Linked DNA regions of Cricetulus griseus. Each later gene encodes a partner of the first gene's protein in a complex. Links are inferred from orthologs where the notes say so. Each region holds a gene or a part of one and is shown on either strand. Other genes may lie near its edges.

Region 1 (17,177 bases):
ATCTTAAGGTAGGTGATGGAAATAGAGTCATGGATGCATGTGACAGTAAAAAGACACTGTACGCCTAAACGTGTTAAAATAATGTACAGAAACAATAAATGAGTTTTTGTAAAAATTTTGTTTAAGAAAGAACACCTTTGATGAGTGTATCACAGGCCATTCAGTTGAAACATTATTGTGTTCAAGCCTGTTGCAGTGGTCCATTCTTGTAATCTTTGCGCTGAGAAGGTGGAAGCAGGATGACCAAGTGTTTAAGGGCAATCTTGACTACATAGTGGGTTCCAGGTCAGCCTATCTCAAATAATATTTAAAGCATTGATTATTTTGAGTGCTACCAAGATCATCACTAGGATTATTTGTAAGAAATGGGAATAAATGTATAATTAAATACAACTCACCCCTTTCTTTAAAAATCAAACATAAAACCCACACTGTGCTTCGAATTGAGTCAAGTTCCAGACTTGACTCAGGTGAGTTTTCTCATTCCTGTGCCTTTGGGTTTCTCCAGAATAGAAACTAGGATGGTGAGTTGAGCAATCTTGATGCTCATTCTAGATAAGAACCCCATGATAAACATCATTAATAAAGATTGAACTCTGGATCCTCCTGCCTTAACCTCTTGGTATTGTAACTGTGTGTGTGTGTGTGTGTGTGTGTGTGTGTGTGTGTGTGTGTGTGTGTGTGTGTGAGTAAATGAAACCATACGGTGAATACAGAATACCATTAAATTGGGCATCTGCCTGCTTTCTGAGAGGATCCTCCTCTTGCCCAAAGAGGCAGGTTCGTATCAGTGCAAAGTAGAACACACACACACATTTCTCAAAGTTCTCTATTTTCCTAGCAAGCAGCATTACTTTTGTCATTCTGTCAGTAAAGTGTTTTGAAGCTTCACCTGTCATCATTTCCACTTAAAATGGCTGGGTAGTCAACATAGATGCGTTCCTGAGGAAGATTGAATTTTGAATTTTGACTGCATTATATTCTATGGAAAACTTGGATGAATTTTCCACATTAACTTCCTAAGTCTGATCTTTGAGGGAAACATTCTTCCATAATGAAATGATTCAAGACAGACACTGAACATACTGTAAAAATACAAAAGAGTGAAAAAAAACCCTCTTGTTTATTCTTTTGGCACTCTGAGGCTAGGCAGTGCATATTGCCATTTGGGGTATTTTTTATGTGTGAGAGGAATGACACACATTGCCTGTGTTCATGGCTGTGTGTATGTTTGTGTGTGGGTGCATGTGCTTGCATGTGGAAGCTAGTATTTGACAAGCAGTGTCTTCCTCTATTGCCCCTATTGTCTTCCACCTTTTTTGTTTGTTTGTTTGTTTGTGTTTTTTGTTTTTGTTTTTCTGTGTAACATCCCTAGCTGTCCTGGAACTAGCTCTGCAGACGAGGCTGGCCTCGAACTCACAGAGATCCACCTGCCTCTGCCTCTGGAATGCTGGCATTAAAAGCATTAGCCACCACTGCCCCACCATCCACCTTATTTTTTAAGATATTGTGTCTCAATGAGCCTAAGACTCACAGATTGGATAAAGATTGTACAAGACCAATTGGATAGCAAGCCCCAGGGATCCTTCTGTCCCCACCTCCCCAGTGCAGCAATGGCCTGTACAGTTTTCCATGGCATTGGATATAGGTGCTGGAGATCCAAACTCAGATCTCCATGCTTGTCTAGGAAGTATTTTAATAGCTGAGCCATGTTTCTGACTCTGCCTTTAGTAGATGTTTACACATTTGTCTTCTACATCCGAGACATTGATATTATGAGCATTCTTCATGTACCAGATAAATGTCTGTGCTTTGCCAAAATGAAGTCTTCAAGATACAAACTAGACCAGAAAGGAGTTACTGAATATTGAATATTTTCTAAATGTGTTGTTAGGGAAGATCGTATGAGATCTAGCCTGGGGCTTCCACCCTGTTCCAAGAGTGATACTCTGGTAAGCATCAGGTATTTATTTTGCCTCTGAAATGGAATGACGTTCATTTATTTTAACAGCTTAGTGCTTCATTTCCTTTTTAATATAAAGATGAATTTATAAACATGTATCTGAGATGATTGTATGAAAGTTACAGTATAAAAGTTTCCTTAATCTGGAGTGAAGAGACACTTCACTAACCTGGTAAGTTAATGAGAGTGAAAATAGCTTTGGAGTTTCTGACTAAGTATGTTTTGTCTGCAACCATTCTTCCTCAATTTCCTCTTTCATGATTACAGGAAATTCTCTTGGCTTAATTCAGTCATTTTACATACGGATCAAATATTAATTCACTGGTCTATTTTATTTTCTACTGTCCATCTTCAGTACTTTCCTACCTTAATAATGGAAATGGTAAAAAGTAGTAAAAAGTAGATTTTCCTTACTTTAAATTTATACTTACAAAACATCTAGGAGAAGACTAGCCAATTCCTGCCAGCCGTTAAAGACAATTTAAAACAAAAGCAATGACAAAGGGAAAATACTAACCACAGAGTTATGCTTTCCCAGGTCATGTGATATCAAACCCGCTTTCTTAAAATTTGAAAGCACAAGATATGTTTATTCATCATCATGACATAATTTAGAGTTATGTCATACAGTAAAAAAAAGATGTTTCCCTTTGTTTTCCAATTCCTGACATGTTACTTTTTGAGATTCTGGGACAATAAGTCAGTACCACAGGGATTCTCAGAGTTTTTAAAATTATAACATTTTAAACACATTTCTAACAGCCTCTAAAGTCATAATATGGACATCTAAAATTCTCATTTTATAGAAAAAACAGACAAAATTCACTAGTACTAAAAAGAACTACATCTCACAGGGATGTTTGTTGAAACACACAATTTCAATTTCAGATTTTCCAGTAAGGTAACAGGCCCTCATGGAATCACACATGGGCACTGCCCATTAAGGACTAACAGGAAATATTTCAGAATATTTTTGTGGAAAATCTTAACACTTTAAAATAGGAAACTATGTAGATTTTATATGCCAGAACCACTGAATTGGAATGGAGGAAGTGTAATTCATTAATTGTGAAGGGCAGACAATTGGATGTTGCAAAGCCAGGCTGGAGAGGTGGCTCAGAGACTTAGAGCACTCGCTGCTCTTGCGGAGGATTTGGGCTGGTTCTCAGTTCCCACACTGCAGCTCACAGCCATAGTCTCAGTTCCCAGGGATCTGAGGTCCTTTTCAGACTTCTGTTGTCATTGCACCTGCATGCGGTACTCATATATATCTACACACACACACACACACACACACACACACACACACACACACACACACGAGTCTGTGAGTCTGTTGTCTATCTATCTATCTACTCATGCACAGAAAAAATTAAACAAATAATTTGAAAATATTATAAAAAGTTTTTTTTGTGAAGCCTTTGCTTTTTGGAGATCATTTCACTATGTATTCCAGGTTAGTTCAGAACAAAAGGTCCTTGCTCCTTATCTCCCAACTGCTGGGATTAAAAGCATGTACCTGAATTTAAAAAGTATTTTAAATTATGTTTTATCCATTTTATGATTTACATTTGTGAAGAACACAATCCCTTTCCTCTTAAAATCTTCTCCTTCTGGCATTAGAAATGCACAGTGTACTAATGAGTATATAAAGAACATTCATTCTCTTAGTGCCTGGGTTTTAATAAAGACTGCTTTAGCCTAAGGTCCAACAATAACTTACCACCATTTTGAGCCAACGACTATGAGGATACATTTCAGCTAATATCAGGCATGACACTAATTCAGTATTAAGTGCTAAGCACATTAGCAATTTCAATGTAGAGCACTATGGCTTTCCAAGTCACTGAAGGAAGGTTTTTTTTTTTTTTTTTATCAATGCCTTTTCTTTTCTTTTCTTTTCTCTTCTCTTCTTCTCTTTTCCATTCAGAACTTACTATTTGAAGTAACATGACTTTAAAACAGTCCAACCATTAGAATTGTTGCTTATATATATTTAAATATATACTTAGAATTTTATTTCAATTTTAAATTAATTTTATTTTATGCCAGTGGGTGTTTTGCCTGAATGTGTGTATACTGTTTACATGCCTGGTACCCATGGAGGATAGAAGGCCTCAGATCATTCCAAGCTACTGTGTGGGTGCTGAAAACTGAACCCATGTCCCCTAGAAGAACACCCACTGAATTTAACCTCTGAGTCATCTCCCTAACCCCAATGTAGACTCTTTATAATCAAATATCCCTCCCCACTGCAATTATAAGACTAATTTAATTCTATGCGTGAAGAAAAGAGTAAGTGCTCGAATTATTGTGCTTAATTCATAGGAAACGAATGTTAATTGTTTCCATAAAAGCAATAAACCAAAAGAGACACCTATATAGGGCAGCTCACAACCACCTTAAAGTCCAGCCTCAGGGGATAGGGCAGCTTCTTCTGACCACCGAAAATCTCTGCATTCATATGTGCATACTGACAGTCACACACACAAATGAACATAATTTTTAAAATTTTCCATGGATGCAGAGTAAAAATAATTCATCTCTTGAAAAATAATTTCAGGACCTTGGTATTTCAAATAAAATTTATTTCCAGCATTGGTTAAGAACAATACCCAAACAAATCAAAACTTTATCACTTACAATCTAAAAAACCAGCTAAAAACATGCTTGAACAAATTAGCTAAAACATTTGAGGGCCAGGAGGATGTTTTAGTGGGTAAAGGCATGTGCTAACCCAAGGAACTGAGTTCAAACCCTCAGGACTCCTGTAGTGGAAGGAAAGGAATAACACCTGTGAGTTGTCTGTCACTTGTCCATCACATGTTCACCATGGTATGTGCAATCCCTCAAAAAATCAATGTATAATATTTATCACCATCTTATTAATTACAGAGAAAATCCAAGAATTCTAAGTTATGCAAAAGGTATAAAGGTCTTGGGAGAAATTCAATATTCTCTGTAATAAAGGCAAATGTAACAATATATTTTGTGCCTTGAGCCCCTTTCAAAGTTTAAGCCATTTGAAATCGGCAGCTCTTTTCAACCATTCACTTTCTTTGTGTTTCTTGCAGCAGATCCCTGATTCTTAAAGTCAGATCCATCATGGAACACTTTTTGAAATTTGAGCATTTTATTTCAAATGAGACTGTGACTGGCATTCATGCTGCTATAGTTTGTGGGCTTTCTGTTACTTAAGAAAAGTATACAGTTTAGTATTGCAAAACTTCACTTTGATAAAAATCCTGATTATTTATGGCTTAAGTGCTGTTTAAACATACTTTTTGTGAGGTAGGAAACAATTTACTACTTTTTCTTCCCTTCTTTCCCTTGTAGACGAGGTTTTTACAAGCAAGGCAATATGTCCCCTCTCTTGTGTGGTGAGACATTAAGGAACCTCATTTAAGCCTCAAGAAAGACCGTAAACAAAGTTTTCTTGTCCATTGCTTCTTATACATCTTTAGACATAAACTCCTGGCTTTATAGACCCCCAAATAAATCATAAGAAAAAATAGCATGAAACATTTTCCCAGGGAAGTAGAACATTCCCACAGGTTAACTAAAATTCTGGACTTTTGCCTGGGAAGAGGAGATTGTCCCAGAAGAATGCTGCCCAAGGATGCCATCAGTCATACAAAGTCACAGTACTTCCGCTCAGTTGACTTCTAAGGAAAACAGCAGTAATTCAGAACTCTTATTTACTGTTATCTTTTGAAAATGTTTCATGACCTGTGCACTTTTTTAGATTACATTCTGAAGCAAATGTCCTCCACAGCTTCCTGTTGGAAAGAATGAACATGACATCATCTATCGAGAGAATGAAATCACAGTCTTTGTGGAAAGTGTGTAGGGTTGCATATCCCTTTCATTTGCACCTCTAATTACCAAGAAGCAGACTTGAAATTAGGAAAGGAAGGAAGGAAGGAAGGAAGGAAGGAAGGACAGAAGAAAAGTAAAGAAAAGAAAAAGCTTGTTGATATGCCAGTGGCTAGGCTTTCTTTTTCCTATTTTGTAAAGCTCAGATACAGAAAGCTGTGTGCTTAAGGGAATAAATGAGCAATTTTATTTTTTTGAGATAGATTTGTGTCCTTGGCTAATCTGAGATTCCAGGCAGTAGTTGTGTACTGCAATTTAGTTTTAATGTATTTTCCATCTCTTTTGTTTAAGTGTTAAAGGGTGGACAGATAGAACACTGAGATTATAACACAGAGTGTGGAAGAACAGTAAATTAAAGCTCTCAATTAAAAAAAAATATAAATTTGGAAGAACCGATGAAGGTTTAATTAACTATTAGGCACTTATGTAAGCATCAAATAAATATTTTGGGCGTTCTAAATAAGTGTTCCCAAGATGAGAAACCAACTCTTGGACTGTTAGATTGCCCCCTCCTTGCCAGAATTCTAGCCCCACACTGAGATGTCTTGCTGGTGAAGAGGTGGTGGGGAGAGACAAAGAGGGGGAACGGAGAGAGAGAGAGAGAGAGAGAGAGAGAGAGAGAGAGAGAGAGAGAGAGAGAGAGAGAGAGAGAGAGAGAGAGAGGTGGTACAGTGCAATTAAGGCTCCTGCAGTTTTCCCATCAGTTTTTGATTTTACCTCTTCTCCAAAGTTGGCAAAGATCCCCCATTAACTGCGGGCTGTCACTGAAGTAGCATTTAAAAGATGTGGTTCCCTTTCTGTAAGAATGTTTTGGAACTCCGCTGTGATTTTTAAGCCCCCACCCACTTCACCAAATCCAGCAAATGGAAGAAGCCAGGCCTCCAGTGCACCGCTCTGCAACTGATGCTAGCACAAATGGCAGGGACCAGGGAGCAGCTAAGAGGCCTTCTCTGGCCCAAATTCGTTTGGGGTTTGGCCTTTGCCCCTAGAAGAATTCATTGATCTGAGTTTGACCAGTGCAGAAAAGGGGAGACTGGGAGAGTGGGAGGCTTGTTTGGCTGAAGTCAGATACCCCACCCCTAACCTTCCCCAAAGGCTACTACTAGATGTCTGGGGAATCCCTCCCTCACCTTCGGAGAGGCAAGTTTCTTTACAAGCGTTAGACACCTGTATGAGGCGCTCCCGGTGGGAAAGGTGGCTTGAGGGACGCCAGAGCTCAGTTACACCGCTTTCCTCTGTGAGGCTGCGGTCACAATCCCTCCAGAAGTCAGAGCTGTTAGCATACACAGTCCCCGCTGCCTTTCTTGGTCGACAGGAACCTAGCCCCACATTCTGGAGCCGGAGCCCGCCGACGCCTCTCCAGTTTGCTCTGGGTCCTCTCCCTCCCACCTCTCCACCTCCAAAGTAGCGCTCCAGCCTCGCTCCGCCCGCACAGCCCCAGCGCCCCCGAGCTTTATCAGGCTCCCCACACACATCGCTGGCTTCCTTTGGCACCCGGCGCTGGTGACCCTCGCTGAGCAGCCGCCTCCTCCAAGCCCAGGCCCCCTCCTCCCGCCCGCGGGTCACTGCGCCTCCAGGCTCTGCTCCCCCAGGCACCGCGGCGCCCACCGCCTTTCAGGTTCATCTGGGCTGGACCTGTTTTGCTCATCCCTAAACCCGGAGAAGTGGAATCTGCACACTGAAACTCTCGGTGGCTGGAGCGGCAGACTGGGCATGCTCAGAAGCCAGGTTTGGCTTTGGTCTCAAGTCGAAGGAAGCTTTTGCACTCGCGAGGCAGCGGCGACTTTAGGGAAAGTTGATCCGAGAGGGGAGGAAGCCCCAAGACGCGGAGCAGCGGCAGGAAGGAGCCCCCGGCAGCCCGGAGGAGCATGGGCACCCTGCGGGATTTACAGTATGCGCTCCAGGAGAAGATCGAGGAGCTGAGGCAGCGGGATGCTCTCATCGATGAGCTGGAGCTGGAGTTGGATCAGAAGGACGAACTGATCCAGAAGCTGCAGAACGAACTGGACAAGTACCGCTCGGTGATCCGGCCCGCCACCCAGCAGGCGCAGAAGCAGAGCGCCAGCACCTTGCAGGGTGAACCGCGCACCAAGCGCCAGGCGATCTCCGCGGAGCCCACCGCCTTCGACATCCAGGATCTCAGCCACGTGACCCTGCCCTTCTACCCCAAGAGCCCACAGTAAGCAGGGTTACTCGCCTGGGTCCATGTGGCGCCCTGGCGGTGGGGAGCTGCGGGTCTCTGTATTGTCTGTCGGCCCCTGCCCCTCCCGCTTGCCATGTCTGTCCTCATCCTCAGAAATGTCTCATTTTCACGGCACTTCTTGAGGGGCTGTGCACGTTTCTCAGGGCCAGACTCCCTGCACATCCGTTGCCTTCGTGTCTTTGTCAGATGCCAAGGTATTTTTAAAATATACATATACGTTCATATATGCCACCTACTGTACATAGAGTTTGGACGCGCCCCAGGTGTGTGTCTGACGGTGTGTGTGAGTGACTGTTGAATGGAGGAATCAGAACCCCGTCTTTCCCAAAGCCCCAGCCAACCTGGCCAGCCGGAAAATCCTAACTGCAGGCTCATCAGACTGAAATGAAATGCGTTGATATTACCCTGACTTTCCACGCTCTTGTGGCTCTCCTGGATTTTTCTACATGCCGCCGGCACTTCAGGCTGGTACTGTTCAAACCTGATGTTCTCTCACCATCAAAGTGTAAAAGAATAAGTCAATATACATATAAAACAGAAGATTTTTTAAAAATTTCCTGAGTTGGATGACATTTACAATCCATAAATGGAAGCCTAGTCTGTTGATTCTTAAAAATGTTTTCATAATATCTGAGAGAGAATATGATTTGTTTTTCTAAAAGAATTCTCACATGATTCCTAATGAACATTTCCCTATAGGGCTCATGTATTTTCAGGGCCAGTGTGGTCAAGCCCACGTTATTTCCCCTGCTGCGCCTCACACTCAGGTCTAAAGCCACTCTGCCGCTGTTCTAGCATGTTACAGAGCAGTGTAGTTCTGATGTCAGTAGGATTCATAACTTGGATGGGAACACTGAATGAAACTTGTTACACAACACTCAACCCCAGAGTCCATATGGAGAGCGAGCATCAGGGACAGGACGGCAGCAGAACCAGAACACCATCTGAATGGCATTTTAATTAATAGTAATGACATAATTGGTAAAGCCGAGGATTCTGTTGTCCTGCTCTTAACTACATAACACGGCTGGATGACACGTGTTACATAATAACAGAAGGCCCCCGAGAAACCTTTACTTCCTAAACACAAGGAATTCATAAGAGGAGATAGTGAAGACTTGGTTATCTCCATTTGTATTTCTTGGATGGGAGGGGTCATGAGTATATACTACGTACACTTTTTTGAAAACTTACAAGCCCAATCTATACATGTTGGCTCCCATGAATCATTTGCAGGCTTAGCTGATGGAGTTTGAATTCTGTGGAGTACAGGAGAGTTGACACAGATAATATAAATATTTCTGAAATCCCAACCTTACCAAGTTGCCATCATAGATCAGCTGATTTCAATTTGTCTTAGAAACTGAGTGATCTGAATCCATTGGAGTTTCCTTTGGTAAATTAATTTGCAGTCGCTGGCATGTTCGCCTGTTTCAGCTAACAAGGTACATGGCCATCTCTCCTGGGCCAAGTTTTGCATAATGAAAATGTAACTCAGAGACAGCGCTTTGTATCTTTAAACAGTCTGTAGGATTGTCATTTTAGTATCTGCTGGAGTTTGGAGTTACCAAGAACAAACTGCTCTTATAAAAAGACTATTTTTAATAGACTTTTAGACAGAGTATGATCAATCCAGCTGATAACTCCACTTAAGCATTCTATTTGAGAAAGTCTAAAGAAATCCAGGCAGCAGGAATGAACTGTAGAATGTGGTATGTTTAGAAGACTCTCGGTGTTTGACACAGGGCACTGGTGTTTTTGTAAAATTCCACAGTAGACAATAACATTAGAAAAGCACATTCTTTGTAGTATCCCTGCAGGACAAAGATTGTGTATGTTGAACATGTTTTACACTCTGGTCCTTATTTGATAACTTTCAGGACCCCATTGTTAAGGTGGTATTGCCATGTGAGTTTTCTAATTCTGAAGGATTATACTGAAGAAAAATGATAAAATGTCTTCCAAGTTTAAATAATTTTGGAAAAACATCTGTTCTTTTTTTTCACACTTACATAAAGGAAACCGAAATAAAATTGCCTTGAGTGGTAGTGTACCTTTCTTAGGGGAAAAGAAGTGTATTGTATGCAAAATAGTTATTATCCTATGCCATTTGAGTGACCGTACAAGACAACTCTACATAGAAGTACAAAAAATGTGACACCCTAAAACATTTTTTTGCATTTTATCGTATATTGTTTGATTCTTTTTATTATTCAGACTTACTGTCAACAAGTGTTTACTTCTTTAATCTTTAGTGCAACTTAAATTTAATCACTTTCCTAAAGATTAAGTTAAGGTTGAAGGGAAACTATCTAAGTAGACTGGAATTTATTTCAGCTACCACTTTCCTCTTTGTTTTTGGTTATCTTTCCAGTAGGTGTAGTTAATGACCAACTGATGAACGGAACATATCCTCTAGTGTTCCCTTACTGAGGCTGACTTTTGAGAATTACAGTATTTTAAAACTTCCTTTTTTATTTTAGTAACCATTGATCATTTGAGGATAAAAAAGCAGTACAAAATTTAAAGTAGCCTCATAACTTTTTAGCATCTTAACAGTTTTTTCTTGGGATTTTTCTCTCTAATGTGAGAATTGGAAGAAAGCTTCTGTTGGATTCCACCACAGGGGAGGACATTTCTGCTATACCTGTGAGGTGTAGTGGGGGCATTGGTCTTTCACAATCTGTATAGATGTCACCTTTAAACCCTTCTTAGGTTATTTATGAATGTGAGGGAAGAATTGATGTAGCAAATTGGAATCTGTATTATCCTGCTGCCAATGAACTACTTAAAAATGTAAAAAGCACTTGATTCTATGTTCCAAAATACATTGAGCAAAAGCTCCCTAACAGTGAAACAAACAAACAAACAAACCTCAGACATCCAGTCTGTGAGATCAGACAACCTGATGGGTCACTTGAACTTCTAAAATAATTTTATTTCATGGCATTTCATTCCTACAGATGCACTCACTGTTCCCAAGTCTTTTCTGTTTTGCTGTCACAGCCTTCTATGTCATTTTAGTTGGACTACCTCAACTTGAGTTCCTATCAAAACTTGTTAATGTCTGTGTGTTTTTGTAAAGCTATTGCCTTTACCCCCGAGGTGGCTTCACTTCAGAGAATGAAGTGTTTTGTTCTGTTTCACTTTGTGATTGTGAAATACTTTGGAAGAATTGGAGATAGAAGCAAAATGTATTTTTTCCTATTTTTAGGTAGGAGTTAAAATTTAAAAGATCCCATGTGATCTCCTAAACCTTGATATTATATCCCAAGAGAAACAGTGTCTCCCTAAACACTATGTGTTTAATTCTGAAGGAAGTCATGGAAATCATGGGATTCTAGTATGATTATATACAGCTTAATATTAAAACATAGACTTCTGTGAAGGTACTAAATTTCTAATAAGCCTTGCAAGTCAGCTCAAAATCTTTCTGTGAAACCTTCCATGTGGAAATTCTTGTAAGGTGCATACGCCTTGCCATTACAGAGTTAGCAAAGGACTCAACAATACTATACAAGTAAACCTTTAGACACCTAAGTAAGGTGGAAGACAGAGTAGTCCACTGAAACACATGGTGTGTGCTGTGGCTCCTATTGAAGTGCATGGTATCAGGAACTCCACTGAGGTACAGGGTCTTGTGCTGGTGAGACTGCCATGATTTAAGCACGGCATGATGTGAAGGGAGGGGTAAGGGATGGGGAGATGTGGAGATGTTACAACTCAAGCCGTCAGCAGCGAGAGGCTTTCCTGTAGCGCCATGAATGGAACCAAAGCTCAGTTTCTATGATTTTATAGAGTGGATCAAGAGGAACTTAGGCTTGCTTTTAGAATGATCAAGAACCGTGTGTGTGTGTGTGTGTGTGTGTGTGTGTGTGTGTGTGTGTGTGTGTGTGTGTTTCACCAGGGCTAGTTAGTGCTGAAACTCTGAATATCAGACTGTGGTTCTAACTTTCCACCATAACTATATTAACTAGGTTAAAATATTTAACCTTAACCAAAAAGCAGATGGTGAAGACTCTTAAGGAAACCAAGGTCCACTCTTAAAGAAATCAAATACCTTTCTGAGTACCACTGAAAGTAGTTTACTTATATGCCATAATCCAACTCGGCAGATTCCTCACATACCTGGACAGACTGATATGGATGAGAATGCAATCTTGTTAGTTATTGAAACCCATCTCCCCTGCTTCTGTGGGGGAGCTAAATTCTGACCCAAGGTTATTAGAATAGTTTCCAATTAAGTTTGAGCATTAATTTGACATTACAGACTATGCAGTGGAAGAAAGTTGTGCAAAGCCTTCATAATATTATATGGGATCATGATGCTAAATATCCTGTTAGGGTGTTTGGAAGTGCAGTCAAGTTGCTTGCCCCTAAAATGGGATGAATAATGAAAATACTGACAAGCCTTAAATAGAGTAGATCTAGGGACTGCCTGGGAATATAAACAGCCATCTTCCTTGCTCTACTTGGCTGCATTTCCAAGCCCTCATCATTTAGTGTTTCATTAAAGAGTTGGTTTGGATTTTTGCTAGGAAATGGTAGAATGAGACATGCCTTGTTTCCATTGTTGCTGTTTGCAGGTTATAAGGCATATGGGCACATTTTTTTATCCTGTCTGCCTAGCAATGGAGGGTCTCCATGGTATCCTAGCAACCATATTTGAACACCAGGCTGCTGCTCTTTCTGCTATCTCTACCATAGGTGCTGCTGCCCATCCCAAGGAACTGGAATTGCGGCTAGCATCCCAGACCTTCTGACTTGAACCTGCCTGGCACTGGGAACACAAGACAATGTGACAAACACTCACATGCTGAAAGCAGCACTTACCAGCACGCTCAACAGCTTATTATGCAATCACATCTGTGGCATTTCGAATCCTAATCTGAATAGTTGGGCTGGTTTTCTTTGCCACCCCTCCTGTGACAGTCTCTCTACTTCTTCACACACAGCTTTCTGACACCACCTCTAGTCCCTCCTACCATCCTTTGTAGTGAATACCTTCCTTGCTGTCTCCTTAAGGATTTTTTTGTTTTGTTTTTGAGAATTAAATCTGTACAGCCTGCTCGAACTCTCTAAGTACAGTTTTGTTGGTAAGATCAAGGAAAGCTCTCCTTCCCCAACTGACATTTAAATATAAACAATGGCTCAAAAACTCCAGCTACACAAGGCAGATGTTTAACACAATGTGGGACTAAGCATAGTGCACTCTAAGAAGTGTCTTGTTTGGGAGTGGAATTTTATGATCCCAGTTATTCATACAAATGAGCAGGAGAGTAGAGTAGGGAGATGACATTTTGGGATGTGGAGTACTGTTGAGGCTATGTTATATTTTCCAGAAGTTTGAAAGTAGCAATATTCTTTCTGGACATATAAATATGCCCCAATGCTGGAGCAGAGTTTGCAAGACAGGTAAGTCTTTGTGTGTGCAAAAACTGGCAAGGACCACATCTTGAAGCTTGCCTGCCTTGAGAAGCTCAACTTAGATATTGTCACAAAATAATGCAGGTGTTTCTCTTCATGCCAGTGTCTTGTTTTCAATGCTTTGTATTTCCCCCTTGAAGCATCACTTAATCTAATATCAGGGAGGGTTTGGTGGTTTGTCTGCAGGCCTCAGTGAGGGGAGGAAAGGGCAGTATGTCAGCATGTAACTGTTCTGAAAGCAGGTCAAGAATGATACTGCCATCATCATCATCACCGCCACCACCACCACCACCCTGCTAATTTTCATGGGACACTAACTCTGTGGCAGATATCTTTCCCTTGCTTAACCTGCATCATGACTTTTTTCATTGTGAGTGTGTGTGTGTGAGAGAGTCTGTGAGTGTTGAATGAATGTAATGAATGTATGTGCACATTGTGTGAGGGTGTGCTTACAGCATAGGCATGTATGGAAGCCAGTTGTTGATGCTGTGTCTTCCTTAATTGTTATTCCTCATTGCTGCTGCCACTACTACTATTATATTACTACTATTATTAATTGAAACAGAGTCAATCAAGGAGCCTGTGGCTCACTGTTGGGGCTAATCTATTTGTCTCTCCTACTACTACTGTAGTTACAGGGACAGTGCCGCACCTGGCTTTTAAGTGGATGCTACAATTCAAACTTAAGCCCTTATGCTTTCCCAGCACATGCTTTATTCACCGAGGAACCTTCCCCTCCCTTGCATTGTGGATTTCAATATCATTGTAAGGAATATTCTAGATTATTCTCATTTTCCACCCTGAGTAACGGAACACCCAGACTCCTAGAAAGAAAGGCCCATGTTCAAAGGGCATACTCATTGTAAAAAACTTAAGCCAGAATTTGAGCTGCTGGAGCCTTTTTTAGAACCACTAGGTTCTTACACAGCCCCAAAGCCTGCAGGGATTGGATAAATGCAGAACCTATGAATAACATATGGGCTGTTCTGGGGAAAGTGTCTGTGTACCCATAATCAGACAGAAAGCAGAAAAACCTTCGGAGAAGTTGAAGAAATTAGGTAGGACTTTTCCTCAAACATGACTGCACATTAGAATCACCTTTAAAAAATCTCATCCCCTAAGTTTTACCACCAACGAATTTTTTTTTGAGACAGGGTTTTCTCTCTTTTGGAGCCTATCCTGGCACTCGCTCTGGAGACCAGGCTGGCCTCAAACTCACAGAGATCTGGCTGCTTCTGCCTCCCAAGTGCTGGGATTAAAGGGGTGCGCTACCAACGCCTGGCTACCACCAATGAATTAAAACCAGTCTTTCAGATGATTCCTATGGTAGGTCCAATGTGAAACGAAACTTGGGAGCCACTGTGATGAGAAGATGACAGGACATGGTGTGTGTGTGTGTGTGTGTGTGTGTGTGTGTGTGTGTGTGTGTGTGTGTGTCCAAATAGAGGACCAAGATAAGTGTAAAGAGTTGAATTAAAATCTTTTTTTTTTTTTTTTTTCTGAGACATGGTTTCTCTGCGTAGCTTTGCAGCTTATCTGGCACTCGCTCTGGAGACTAGGCTGGCCTCGAACTCACAGAGATCTACCTTCCTCTGCCTCCCAAGTGCTGGGATTAAAGGCATGTGCCACCAATGCCCGGCTATGGGCTAAAATCTTTATCAGCTTGCAAAAGCAGTGATGGGTTTTATTCTTTATTCGATTGTGATCATGTGTCTTATTGTTTATGCTCCTAAGCAAGTATGCAATGTTCCTCATGGCCCATTTTTTTTCTCTCAGCCATGGTTGTTCATTAGAAAACTGCCAAGGAATATTTTAAACATATCTTTTCTGGGTGCCACTAGCAAGATTGATTCAGTCACTCTGGGGTTGGGCTCATGGGATAGTTTAATCCAGGGATGGCTCTCAACTTCATTCCAAGTTGAGAACCTCTTCACTAGCCTACCTGGCTTCTCTCATGCTACAGATTACTTTCCATTCTTTTGGAGAGATTCTGCTCCTAGAGGGATGAGGCAACTCCAGCTGTGTGTCACCCATCACAGCTGGACTGTCCCTTTCACTCTGATTCTGGGATTGCCTACTATAGTTCTGGCCACATAAAAGCCTCAGCAGCTCCATTCAACTGGTAAGCAGTTTCCTCCTTCCAGCCATCCACAAGTCTGGCCAGCCACTGGATATATATTAGGGTCAGTCATCACCCCAAGTTTGATTTCCACTTTTGCTGGGGGCAGCGGCCTTGCCAACAGGAGAGACTGTTTCCTTGAATCCCAGCTGATGCTATGAAATTTGAAATTGATGGAGGTGAAACAAAGACAAGTCCCACTTGGAAGAGCAGGGCAGGGCTTGTAGCATTTCTCTGTCTGGTATGAGATGCCTCTGCAGCCAGCTAGCTTTTTTTTCCCCTTACAGATATTTTATCCTTTTAAGGCAAACAGCTTGAGCTCCGGCTGAGAAGTACTTTCCAAGGAGGTTTCAACGAAAGCGGAGTAAGCAAATCAACCTCTCAGCCCCATTTCCAGACAGTTTGGTCTGAGAGACCAGATGTGGGCAACCTCTGGTAGAGGAGAAGTCTTAGGCACCCCAGTAGCAAGGGGTATTGTGGGATATAAAGAATCCCTATTCCCGGTGCTCTAAAGTCACCACTGTCCCTGAACAGGCTAGCTCTACATTTCTTTCTTGCTTCCAGTTTCCAGCTGAAACTCCTCAAGGTCTTGGTAATGGTCTCCAATAGATATCTCTTCACATTTGCAATTCAATCATTATCTTCTCAGGTGAGAATCAAGCAGTATTGCGCTTCATGTAAGCAATGAAAATAGCTAATATAATTGCAAATGCCTTTTGGTAAAAAACACCTCCTTACATCCAGGGTCAATGAGGAGGAGCTTCCTTGTTTCTCTTCCACTTTGCATAGATATAACAATATACTCAGTGGACTGACAGCATGTTAGAACATAGTAGGTAGGATAAGGCCACCCAGAGGCTTAGGGATGTTAATTACAAAAGGAAGTTATTCATAAGGAAAATAAACATTTTTATTATGAATGCTGCATTTGGATATTAGGACTAAATGGGAAGGAGCAGAGGAATAAATAATGAAACACTACAACACAGCAGCGATAAAGGAACATGACCACAAACACACATTCACTCCTGTTAGCACTTACAAGAAGCATGGAGAGCACAGGTTGGTGCTGGGATCCTGCGAAGGTATCTGTGTCTGAGTTCCTTTTGATTGTGTACAAAGCTGGGTCCAGTTGGCAGAGCTAAGTTACCAGTGGCAATTTAGTGCAGGCCTATATGATTTTCACTTGCATCAAAAACAGTACTGTCAATGGCCTCTGCCATCCTAAAGATCACGAATGCAATCCAAACTTCATCAAACTTGCTGCAAGACCGATGTAATTAATTAATTTATCCATAAACACAGAGTTTCATAATTATGTGCAGCTAAAGCATAAGTAAGTAGTTTACATGATTTCCTCTCCTCTAGAATTGTAATGTTTTAAAAACAGATGTGAGGTTTTTGTTGTTAGAAACTTCAGTTTCGTTTTCTTCCAGACTATATCTGCTCTTTAGAAGCAACATTGTGTTTCTTCTTTTACACTAAACGATTGTATTATCTGCCATTCAGTTTCATTTGTTAATTGTATTGAATGTCAATGATGACAAATTTGCTGCTGCTAAGTAAAAAGATACTTTTGCTGTTTATGA
Region 2 (10,492 bases), on another chromosome or scaffold:
TCTGCCTGAATTCAGGCTGTGTGACCTGGACAACTGACTACATTTCTTTATTCATTCTGTAGGACCCTCCTTAGAGGGCTGTTGTGAGGCATGGGTTGCTATTTTATCTGATGCAAGTTGATGTATTTCTTAGCCCACTGGTTCTCTATGTATTTCTTAGCCCACTCTCTCTCTCTGTCTGCCTGCCTACTCCCTTCTCTCTCTCCCTCCTGGCCAGGGTTTCACTATGTAGCTCTGGCTGGGTAGCTCTAGCTGGCCTCAAACTCAGAGACCCACCCTACTCTGCCTCCTGAGTGCTGAGATTACAGTTGTGCACACCTATAACCAATCATTCTCTTCTACTTATTTTTCTTGTTCTCTCTCTTTTTAATAATATTTCTTATTATTCTCTCTGTCTCTCTCTAATGTGTTTGACCTGAATGTCCGTGTGAGGGTTTTGGATTCCCTGGAACTTGAGCTTCCATGTGGGTGCTGGGAATTGAACCTGGGTCCTCTGGAAAAGCAGCCCATGCTCTTAACTGCTGAGCCATCTCTCCAGCCTACCTACACACCCCGACCTGGAACTCTTGATCTTCCACTTGCATCTCTTAAATGATGGGGCAGTAGGTAGATCCTCCAATGGGGACAATCTGGGTATCTGTCCCCTTTACTCTCTAGGTCCATTTGACAATGCCTTTAACTCTGCCTGTTGGTGCATGCCTGCCACACCAACACTCAGGACGCCAGTCTGGGTTACATTGCAAAGAGCAGGTGCTGGCAACTGGCACCTCATAAAGACTTGGGATGGTGTTAAAGTCACAGTGCCCAGGGCAGGACTCCACTGTAAAGAATTAGCCAACCGTCAATGTGAAGGCTGAGACACTCTGTTTGAACCTCACAGGATTAGGGACAGAGGCTGACAAAATTGTGTGACATATTTTTAGTGGGGGATCCCACACCCCTGCCTGTGTTGCTGCTTTTCCATCTGTAAAGTGCTCATGATAACAACATGTCCTGTAGGGTGCTGTGAGTATTGAGTGAGTTATATGGCCACAGTTTGAATAGGGCTTGACAGGAAAACTGTTGGCAAAGTCAGGTGGGGCAATGCATTCTTGTAATTCCAGCTACATAGGAGGTGGAGGGAGGCAAATTCCAAGTTCAACTCCAGCCTATGAACGTAGTGAGACCTTGTCCCAAACAAATTTTTTTTCTGTGTCTGTATATGCAGTGCCCTTGAAGGCTAGGCCAGGGCATCAGATACCCTGGAGCTGGAGTTACAGGAGGTTGTGAACTACCAGATATGGTAGCTGGAAACTGAATTCAGGTCCTCTGGGAGAACCATATGTACTCTTAGCCATTGCGGCATCTCTCCAAACTGAGAAGTTTGGCTGTTTCTTCATAATATATACGACATGAAAGCAGAAATGGGACCATTTGGGAAGAAGGAACCCAGATATGAAGAGCAGGGACAGAGAGGGTAGCGGTGGGAGAATATACAATGTGCCTGGGTGTGGTTGTGAGTGAATGACTATAATTTCAGTGCCTTGGAGTAAAGGAAGGAGAATCAGGAGTTCAAGGGCATCCTCAGTTACATTTCAAGTTTGTTACTAGCCTGGGACACAAGAGACTTTGTCTCACTCCCCTCCCAAAAATGTTATAATAAACATTTGTATTCCATTTAGAGAGAGAGAGAGAGAGAGAGAGAGAGAGAGAGAGAGAGAGAGAGGTGTTATACACATGTGCCCTAGCTTGCATGTGGAGGTCAGAGAACAGCTATAAGATTTCTCCTTCCATCATGGAAGTCCCAGAAATTAAACTCAGGTTGTCAGGCTTGGTGGTAAGTGCCTTTACCTGCTAGGTCATCTTCTAAGCTCTTCCATTCATTGTTCTGTATAGCAATTAGAATTGTTTTCAGTCTGCCCTTTTCTCTGGTGATGCTGGCAATTATACTAAAGTCTTGCACATGCCGGGCAAGGGATTTGCCACTGAGCTCTGTCTCAAAATAAAATTATTAATTATTATTAGCTATTTTAAGACAGGGTCTACTATGTAGCTTTCGCTGGCCAGGAACTTCCTCTGATCCACCTGCCTCTGCCTCCTGAGTGCTGAGATTAAAGGTGAGGACCTCTATGCCCTGCCAGATGTGTCTTTTATCTGTGGCCAGCAAATTGCAGGTCCTTAAATCATTATCATTAATGCACAGAGATTGATGTCATACAAGTGTCACTATCCTACACTTGACATGATGCAGTTGGAGCATTCAACCCCACGGTCCAGATGAGAGCTGTCCTAGACAGGGATGTTTACAGGTGTCCAACCAGACCAGCCTGAGCTGGCTAGAGACAGGGGAGTACTCATGGCCCAAGACCAGCTAACACAGGCCTTGGTGGCTCAGGTGACCAATGGATAAATAGTGAGAGAAGGTCTAGGATCTTTGTTTGTTTGTTTTGTTGTTGTTGTTGTTGTTTTTCAAGTTGCCCAGGCTGGTCTTGAACTCAGTATGTAGCCAAGGTCATCCTTGTACTTCTGAACATCCTGTATTTACCTCCTGGGTGCTGGGATTATGCACATGCATTACCAGCCTTGGTTTATGTGGTCCTAGGGCTTGAACCCAGGTTTTTGTGCATGTTAGGCAAGGATTCTACTAATAGACCTATGTCTTAGCTTCTACCTTTTAACATTTGTGTGTGTGTGTGTGTGTGTGTGTGTGTGTGTGTGTGTGTGTGTGTGTGTGTTTGCACATAATAGAGGTCAGAGGATAAGTTGCAGGAGTTTGCTCTCTTGTTCCACTATGTGAATCTTGGGGTTCAAACTCTGGTCATCAAGTTTGTCAGTAAACATCTTAACTCATCAGTCCATCTTGCCAGCCTCCTCCCACCCCTTTTAAACTAACTCATGTGTGGGGGAGAGAGATGGGGTCTCACTCTATAGCCCAGGCTGTGCTGGAATTCACTATGTAGCCCAGGCTGGCTTCACACTCTCAGGAGTCCTTTTGCCTCAGGTTCTCAAGTGCTGGGACTACAGGTGTGAGCCATCATACCCAATTAGAACTAGGCTTTTTGCTGCCCCAAGTCCACATGAGGGACTGGAGGGGATGGAACAGGGTACCAGATTGTTAGCAGAAGCAAAGCTTGGCTGAGGTTCTCCCTTGTGCCAGGCACTGCACTGGGCACCCTGGAGGTGACATTTTTTTTCTGATCTTTACAACATCCTAATGAGGCAAGCTCTATCACTAGCCCTTCTGTAGATATGGCAATAGAGACCTAGGGAGAAGGTTATGTGTTTAGGGTGATGTATGAAGATCAGTCAGATTGTCTCGCTGAACTACAGGGTGGGGGTGGGGGTGGGTGAAACGGGACGTGAAGTGGACACAGGTCCTGTCTTGGCATTGAAAAGGGATAGAGACCGGTCATCTTTGAGATAAGAAGACTCAGAGATGGGACATAGACAGTTGGCATGGGAGGAGGGTAGAGGAGGGTGGCCTGTGTGAGCAAGCCCCTCTCCCAGAATAAGGCAAACAGCCCCCTAGGTGGAAACAATGACACAATCAGCTTCCAATACCAAGGCCCTGACATCACGAGGTGGGGGTGGCCAAAGTGTGTGTGTGGTGCCACGCCCCTTGGCAAGCCCCTGTGGCCAATGGGACAGGCTTGGAAGAGCCTGGGGCTGGCCTCTGGAGCTTCAAAAACGTGTGAGGAGGGAAGAGGGTGCAGACGCAGGCTCAGCTGCCTTGTCCTCGTCAGTGTCACCAGAACCTCTGCTTTGCCAGAGCCCCCTGGCCAGCATGTCTTCCGCACATTTTAACCGAGGTCCTGCCTATGGCCTGTCTGCTGAAGTCAAGAACAAGGTAAGACCGGGGGACTGCCTAGCCTGGCCTCTGACAGACCCTGAGCGCCCTCCTACCTGTGTCAGGTGACTTGAGACCTGAGAAGAGAAGGAAGTTAAGGAATAGGGGCCGTTTTTTCTGTCCTTGGAACATCCCAGGGCCCTCGGTTACTTGAGGGGTGAAATGAGGGAACCCCACTATCCTTAAATTGAGGTAATCAGAGTGCTGCAAAGATTCCCACCTGCTCAGAGTCCTTGGTCAATTTTCTTGTTCCTGGGAGGGATGTAGGGGGAAGGGACAGACCCCTACCTTAAAAAAAAAAAAAAAATCAACCCTGCAGTTCATACAGCTAGAAGACACTGAGAGACATGGATGGGTAAACTGAGGCTTGGAAAGGAACAGCAAGGAGCTAGGGCCCCGGGTGAGGCAAGTGCGGACCCAAACCCCTCTCCACACCGGGATAGATCGATTTCCCGGGGCAGGGGACTGCACAGATTAGGAGAGGCAATCCCATTTGACAGAAGGGAATACTGAGGCTCTTCCTTTCCAGGGTCCCACAGCAGAAGTTGAGGGGAGCAAGGAGCAGGGATTGGGACCTGGATCAGGTTGGGGTATCCTAGGGGTTCAGGATTGGGGAAGCGTGGGGGGCGGGTGCTCCGCGGGAGACTGATGGCAGCGTCGCCCCCTCCCCCCAGCGCCGGCCCGAGGCGCAGAAGAGCCGCCGCGCCTTATAAGGCGGCCTTGGGCAGCCTGGGCCCGCGCTATATAAGGGCCGGTTTGCTTTATAAAGCCGGGCTGGTGGGGAGGGGGGCGGCAGGGCTGGGGCCAGGTAAGGGGGTGCACCCCTCCTCTCCCCATTCAGAAGAAGTGAGGCATCCCCCTTCCCCCCATCTCACTACCACCAGGGGCTGGGAGGCCAACAAGCAGGATTGCTGAAAGATCGTGAAGCGGGTCTTGCAGACAGGTTGGAGAGCGGGCGAGCCAGGAGGGAGATAAGAGCTAAGAGGCGGAGAAGGGAGCCGGTCGAATCCCACCCCGTACCCGGGAAGACCGGATCAGAGGGGTAGCTACAAAGCCAAGAGCCCCAGAGCTGGCTGGACAGGATTGTCTTCAGAGATGGGGACCCCAGACTGAGAAAAGGATAATGCACCACAGAGTTGGGGGACAACGAGAGAGACAAAGTGGGGCTGAGGACAGATTTAAGAAACACATTCAGGCAGGCATTAGGAAGGGTACAAAATAATCCCCATTTCTAACCAGGGATTCTATGTGTGATGTCCTGGGGCTCCCAGCAAACCAGCACCCAGGGGCTCCTTCTTAGGGTTCATCCCCGCCCCCAGTTTAAGGCATCTCCTCTTCCAAATGGAGAGTGGAGGGGGGGCTGGGTCAGGGGAAGCTAAGCCCCAAGTTTGGCTTGGAGGGGAAACCAAGGATCCAAGCGCCGCCCCCCCCCCCCAGCTTCAAGGATCAGGCTCTCCAGCCCCCTCTTGTCTATTCATTGGTGCCAAACCTCAGAATGCCCGGAATGGCCCCCTGGGCAGGTGCCACCTCAATCCTGGCCCTCCGCCTCCCGCTAGTCCTGCCCCCTTACCGTGGACACTAAGACAGGATTGCCTTAGTTGGGATGGATGAAGCAGGAGATTGGGCCTATCCGGGCTGAGATGGGCCCCAGAAGGCCAAAGCTCCTCTCTCTTGCCTGCTTCCTCATCACCTGTGCCTCATTCCTCCATCTCCATCTCAGCTGGCCCAGAAATATGACCATCAGCGGGAGCAGGAGCTGAGAGAGTGGATTGAGGGGGTTACAGGTCGCCGAATCGGGAACAACTTCATGGACGGCCTCAAAGATGGGATCATTCTTTGCGAGTGAGTGAGGTTCTTAGGGTGCAGACCGCGCCCCGAAGCCAGCACCCCACCTGCTCCATACTGGCCCTCAACATCACCTGATGATCCCAAACCTGGAACTGTAGTTAGACCCTGATACTTGATGCCACCCACATTCCTTCAAAGGCCTCGAAGACTCACTTGTGCCCATTACACAGGCAGAGATGACCGAGTCAGTTAGGTTTAAGACAGTACCCAAAGCCCTGAGGTGTTACCAGGCCATTACTTAGCTAGCACACGCTACAGGGCAGGCCTGTCTATGGATCTCAGTGGGCAACAGTGGCTGTTTATCTCCAGTTTTAGTGGCATTGTGGTGGTGTTACAATAGTTTATGTAGAATTCCCACTTCCCATATGTAGTTTATGTGGCTTCCCACTGCCCTCATCACTGGGGAAGATGAAAACCTTCACAGGAGCAGCCCACCATGGCTTGGCACGCACCTGGGATGCCCAGCACAGGCTGTGAGGTACAGTACAGTTCAGTGCAGAAAATATACATGAGCGAGGCTGGCTGAGTTCCACCCTCAGCACTTACACAGACAATCCACCACAGTCATTCACTTACCACTCATTAATACTGTGTTTAGAGAGCTCCTGATATACACAGGCCTTTGCTCTAGGTGTGTGGGGAGTGAACCTGGCTCCATGTGGAGCCCAGGGGGAGAAATTGGGCTGGTTCCACACCCAGCAATAGGTAATAGGTTTCATCACGAAGAAAAGGTAACCAAGTAACCAGCCAGATAATCACATTCATGCCATGAAGAAAGCCCATCGGGCTGATTGATGATTGGCTCAGTGGGTAAGGGTACTTGTCACCAGGACTGATGATGACCTGCGTTCAATTTCAGGACCCACATGTTGCAAGGAGAGAACAGACTCCTGAAAGCGGTTCATTGACTTCTACATACATGGCATGACACATGCATGTGCACATGCCATCTACATTCATGGCCATGCTCACACTCATACAAATGAAGACAACAAGGAACACTGACATTTGAACCCAGGAAAGCCAGGACACTTAGCCTGACTCTGGGGTTTCTGGCTGGTAGCTTGGGTCCCACATCCACCATAGCATGTGCTAGGTAGTACCCGCTTCCAGCTGTTACGTAGTCACCTTGCCTGAACTCACTTTCCCCACCCCCCTTCTCTTTGTTAGATTCATTAACAAGCTCCAGCCAGGCTCTGTGAAGAAGGTAAATGAGTCAACCCAAAACTGGCACCAGGTAAGTCCAGACACAAGTTACTAGTTTGTTTTCTATTTTAGTAATGAGGATTGAACCCACTGAGTGTGCTCGGCTGGAGCTCTACCCCTGAGCCACACCCCAGCCCCTCACTGGGGGACTCTAGGCAGGGGCTCTAGGTTAGAACCACGCCCAACCCTGGGCTTCTATTGCTGGTTTTGTCAAAGGCTCCCCTCACAGTCAGAGGACAACTCTGGTCTTGGCCCTCTCCTTCTGCCGTGTTTGAGGCAGGATCTCCATCTCTTTGTTGTTTTCCATTGGGTACACCCGGCTAGCCGTCTCCACCTCCCATCTCTCCCAACAGGAGTCCTGGGACTACAGACATTGGCGGCATTCTCTGACTTTTGCTTGGTTTCTAGAGATTCAAACTCAGGTCCTGATACTTTCACGTCAATTTTTTTTGTCTTTGCTTTTGTTTTGTCTTACCAAAAACATCTCCCTGACTCCTTTTTGAGACAATGTTTCATCAAGTTGCTCAGACAGGCCTTGAACTTCAATCCTACTTCTGCCTCCTGAGAGGATGGGATGGCAGGTCATTAACTTGTTTTTTAACTCTTTTTTTAAAAATATTTATTTTATTTATTATGTATACACTATTCCGCCCGCATATAAGCCTGTTTGCCAGAAGGCACCAGATCTCATTGTATATGGTTGTGAGCTAACATCTGGTTGCTGGGAATTGCACTCAGGACCTCTGGAAGAGTAGCCAGTGCTCTTAATTATTGAGATATCTCTCCAGCCCCTTGTTTATATTTATTTTTTAAAAAAGATTTCCTTTATTTGTGTGTGTGTGTGTGTGTGTGTGTGTGTGTGTGTGTGTGTGTGTACATTTGTATGGGCAAGTGCCCACAGAGCCCAGGAGGCATTGGGTCTCTAGATCCCTTGGAGCTGGAGTTACAGGAGTTTCACTCTATCCCTTACCCATCTGCCCCTCAGCCCTCCACCTCCCATCCCTGATCAGGCCTCTTCCCTTACAGCTGGAGAACATAGGTAATTTCATTAAAGCCATTACCAAGTATGGAGTGAAACCCCACGACATCTTTGAGGCCAACGACCTGTTTGAGAACACCAACCATACACAGGTTCAGTCTACTCTCCTGGCTCTGGCCAGCATGGTGAGTGTATGGGAAGAGTGGGCACGGGGCAGGTGTGGGGCTAGTCTCAGGTCAGATGGCTACAGGGACACTTAGGCCACTGAGCCTCACCAAAAGTGTTGGTAGGTGTTGGTGTGTGAGGGGAAATGAGGCCTACTGGAAGCTAGCTCATCTGTGTTCCATGTCCTTTTTGCCCCTTGCAGGCCAAGACAAAAGGAAACAAGGTCAACGTGGGAGTCAAATATGCAGAGAAACAAGAGCGGAGATTTGAGCCAGAGAAGCTGAGAGAAGGTCGGAACATCATTGGGCTACAGGTATGGACCCTTGGTCATACGGGCTGCTCTGGGCTGAGGGGAAGGCAGCCAAACCCTGGAGGCTCTGGGGGTCAGAATATTTGTATGGACTGGCTGGGAGCACAGTCAGTGTTTTCTGTTTACTAACTTGTTCCCTTTGCTCATACTCCTAAATAGTTCCTGCTTTATTTATTTACTTACTTATTTTGGTTTTTTGAGACAGGGTTTCTCTGTGGCTTTGGAGGCTGTCCTGGAACTAGCTCTTGTAGACCAGGCTGGTATCGAACGCAGAGAGATCTGCCTGCCTCTGCCTCCCGAGTGCTGGGATTAAAGGCGTGTGCCACCACCGCCGAGCTTAACAGACTCTTAAAATATTTTACTTAACTTTACTTATCTTTGTGTATGAATGCTTTGCATTCATGTATGCATGTATGCATATGAACCACATGTGTGCATAGTGCACACAGAGGCCAGGAGAGGGCATTGGATTCCCTGGAACTGGACTTATAGATGGTAGTAAGAGGCCATGTGGGTGCTGGGAATTGAACCCAGGTCCTCTGAAAGGGCAGCCAGTGCTTTTAACCCTTTATACAGATAGAGAAAGTAAGGTTTGCAGCAGGTAGCACACTGCTTTTTTTCTTCAGTGTTGGGGATGGAGTCTAGATCTCAAGTATGCTAGGCAAGCACTGTACCTTAGTTATATCTACAGCCCTCTTGTATTTTTCATTTGTATGTACGTATGTATCTATGGATGTGGGAGTGCACATCACGGTCAGAGGTCAGCGACTGTTGTCATTCCTCAGGAGCCATCCACCTTGGTTTGTTTGTTTTACTGTTTCTTCGTTTTGAGACACGGTCTCTCTTTGTAGTCCTGGCTGTCCTGGAACTCTCACTGTAGACCAGGCTGGCCTTGAATTCACAGAGATATGCCTGAAACTGCTTCCCAAGTGCTTGGATTAAAACTGTGTCCCACCATGCCAGGACACCTTGCTCTGAGACAGAGTCTCTCATTAGGTTTCTTAGTTTGTACTCTAATGTTGTGCTATAACACTACCCTAAACTTGTAGAAGGAAGGAGTTTATTTGGCTTGCATTTCCACATCACAGTGCAACTTGGAGAGAAGTCAGAGCAGGGATCAAGTAGGAACCTGTAAGAAGGAACTGGAAAGACACCATGGAGAAACACTGCTTATTGGCTTGCTTCCATGGCTTCTCAATTTTCTTATACAACCCAGGACTGCCTGCCTAGGGATGTCACTACCCACAGTGGTCTGAGACTTCTCATATCAATCAATAATCAAGATAATAACCCTTAGTCATGCCCACAAACCAATCTGATGGAGACAACTCCTCAACTCAAGTTCCCTTTTCCCAGTGACTCAAGTTTATGTCAAGTTGACAAACACTAACCAGCACAGCTGACCTCTTACTAACTTGACACACAAGCATATCACTAGTAAACCTCACCCTTTCCTTTCTTGGTTATTTCCAAAGCCCCCCCCCCTTACTGCCATACCACCCTGAATGCACATGATCTTATTTATTCCCCAAATCACAATGTAAAACATAACTTTGGCTGGGTGGTGGTGGCCCATGCATTTAATCCCAGTGCTCTGGAGGCAGAGGCAGGTGGATCTCTGTGAGACCAGCCTGGTCTACAAAATCCCTGTAACTTTAAATGTCTCATAGTCTTTAAAAAATGCAAACACTTTAAAAGTTTAAAGTCTCTTTAAAATATCCAAAGTCTCTCTCTCTCTCTCTCTCTCTCTCTCTCTCTCTCTCTCTCTCTTGCTTTTTCGAGACAGGGTTTCTCTGTATTGTTTTGGAGGCTGTCCTGGAACTCGCTCTGTACACTAGGCTGACCTCCTTCAACTCGCAGAGATCTGCCACTGCCTCCCAAGTGCTGGGATTAAAGGCGTGAGCCACCAACACCTGGCCCAAAGTCTTTCTTTTTTAAAGTTATTTTTTCTTACTTTATGTACATTGGTGTTTTGCCTGCATGTGTGTCTGTATGAGGGTGTCAAGTCTTGGAGTTACAGTTGTTAACTGCCACGTGGGTGCTGAGAATTGAACCCAGGTCCTCTAGAAGAGCAGTCAGTGCTCTTAACCACTGAGCTGTCTCTCTAGCCCTCCAAAATATCTCCTCTCTCTCTCTCTCTCTCTTTCTCCCTCTCTCT

What was found.
Region 2: Prkg1 (region 1) and Cnn1 share a complex: the UniProt entries of both Homo sapiens proteins name them as parts of the cGMP kinase signaling complex. The link is inferred for Cricetulus griseus from reciprocal best matches to the Homo sapiens genes PRKG1 and CNN1.

The regions. Positions count from the first base shown.
Region 1 is NC_048596.1:29,788,688-29,805,864, forward strand, and holds the start of Prkg1 (cGMP-dependent protein kinase 1), read left to right. Parts: upstream 1-7,707; coding exon 7,708-8,018; intron 8,019-17,177. UniProt on the Homo sapiens protein: Serine/threonine protein kinase that acts as a key mediator of the nitric oxide (NO)/cGMP signaling pathway. GMP binding activates PRKG1, which phosphorylates serines and threonines on many cellular proteins.
Region 2 is NC_048597.1:134,988,134-134,998,625, forward strand, and holds the start of Cnn1 (calponin-1), read left to right. Parts: upstream 1-3,680; 5' UTR 3,681-3,763; coding exon 3,764-3,826; intron 3,827-5,546; coding exon 5,547-5,668; intron 5,669-6,844; coding exon 6,845-6,911; intron 6,912-7,906; coding exon 7,907-8,044; intron 8,045-8,226; coding exon 8,227-8,337; intron 8,338-10,492. UniProt on the Homo sapiens protein: Thin filament-associated protein that is implicated in the regulation and modulation of smooth muscle contraction. It is capable of binding to actin, calmodulin and tropomyosin. The interaction of calponin with actin inhibits the actomyosin Mg-ATPase activity.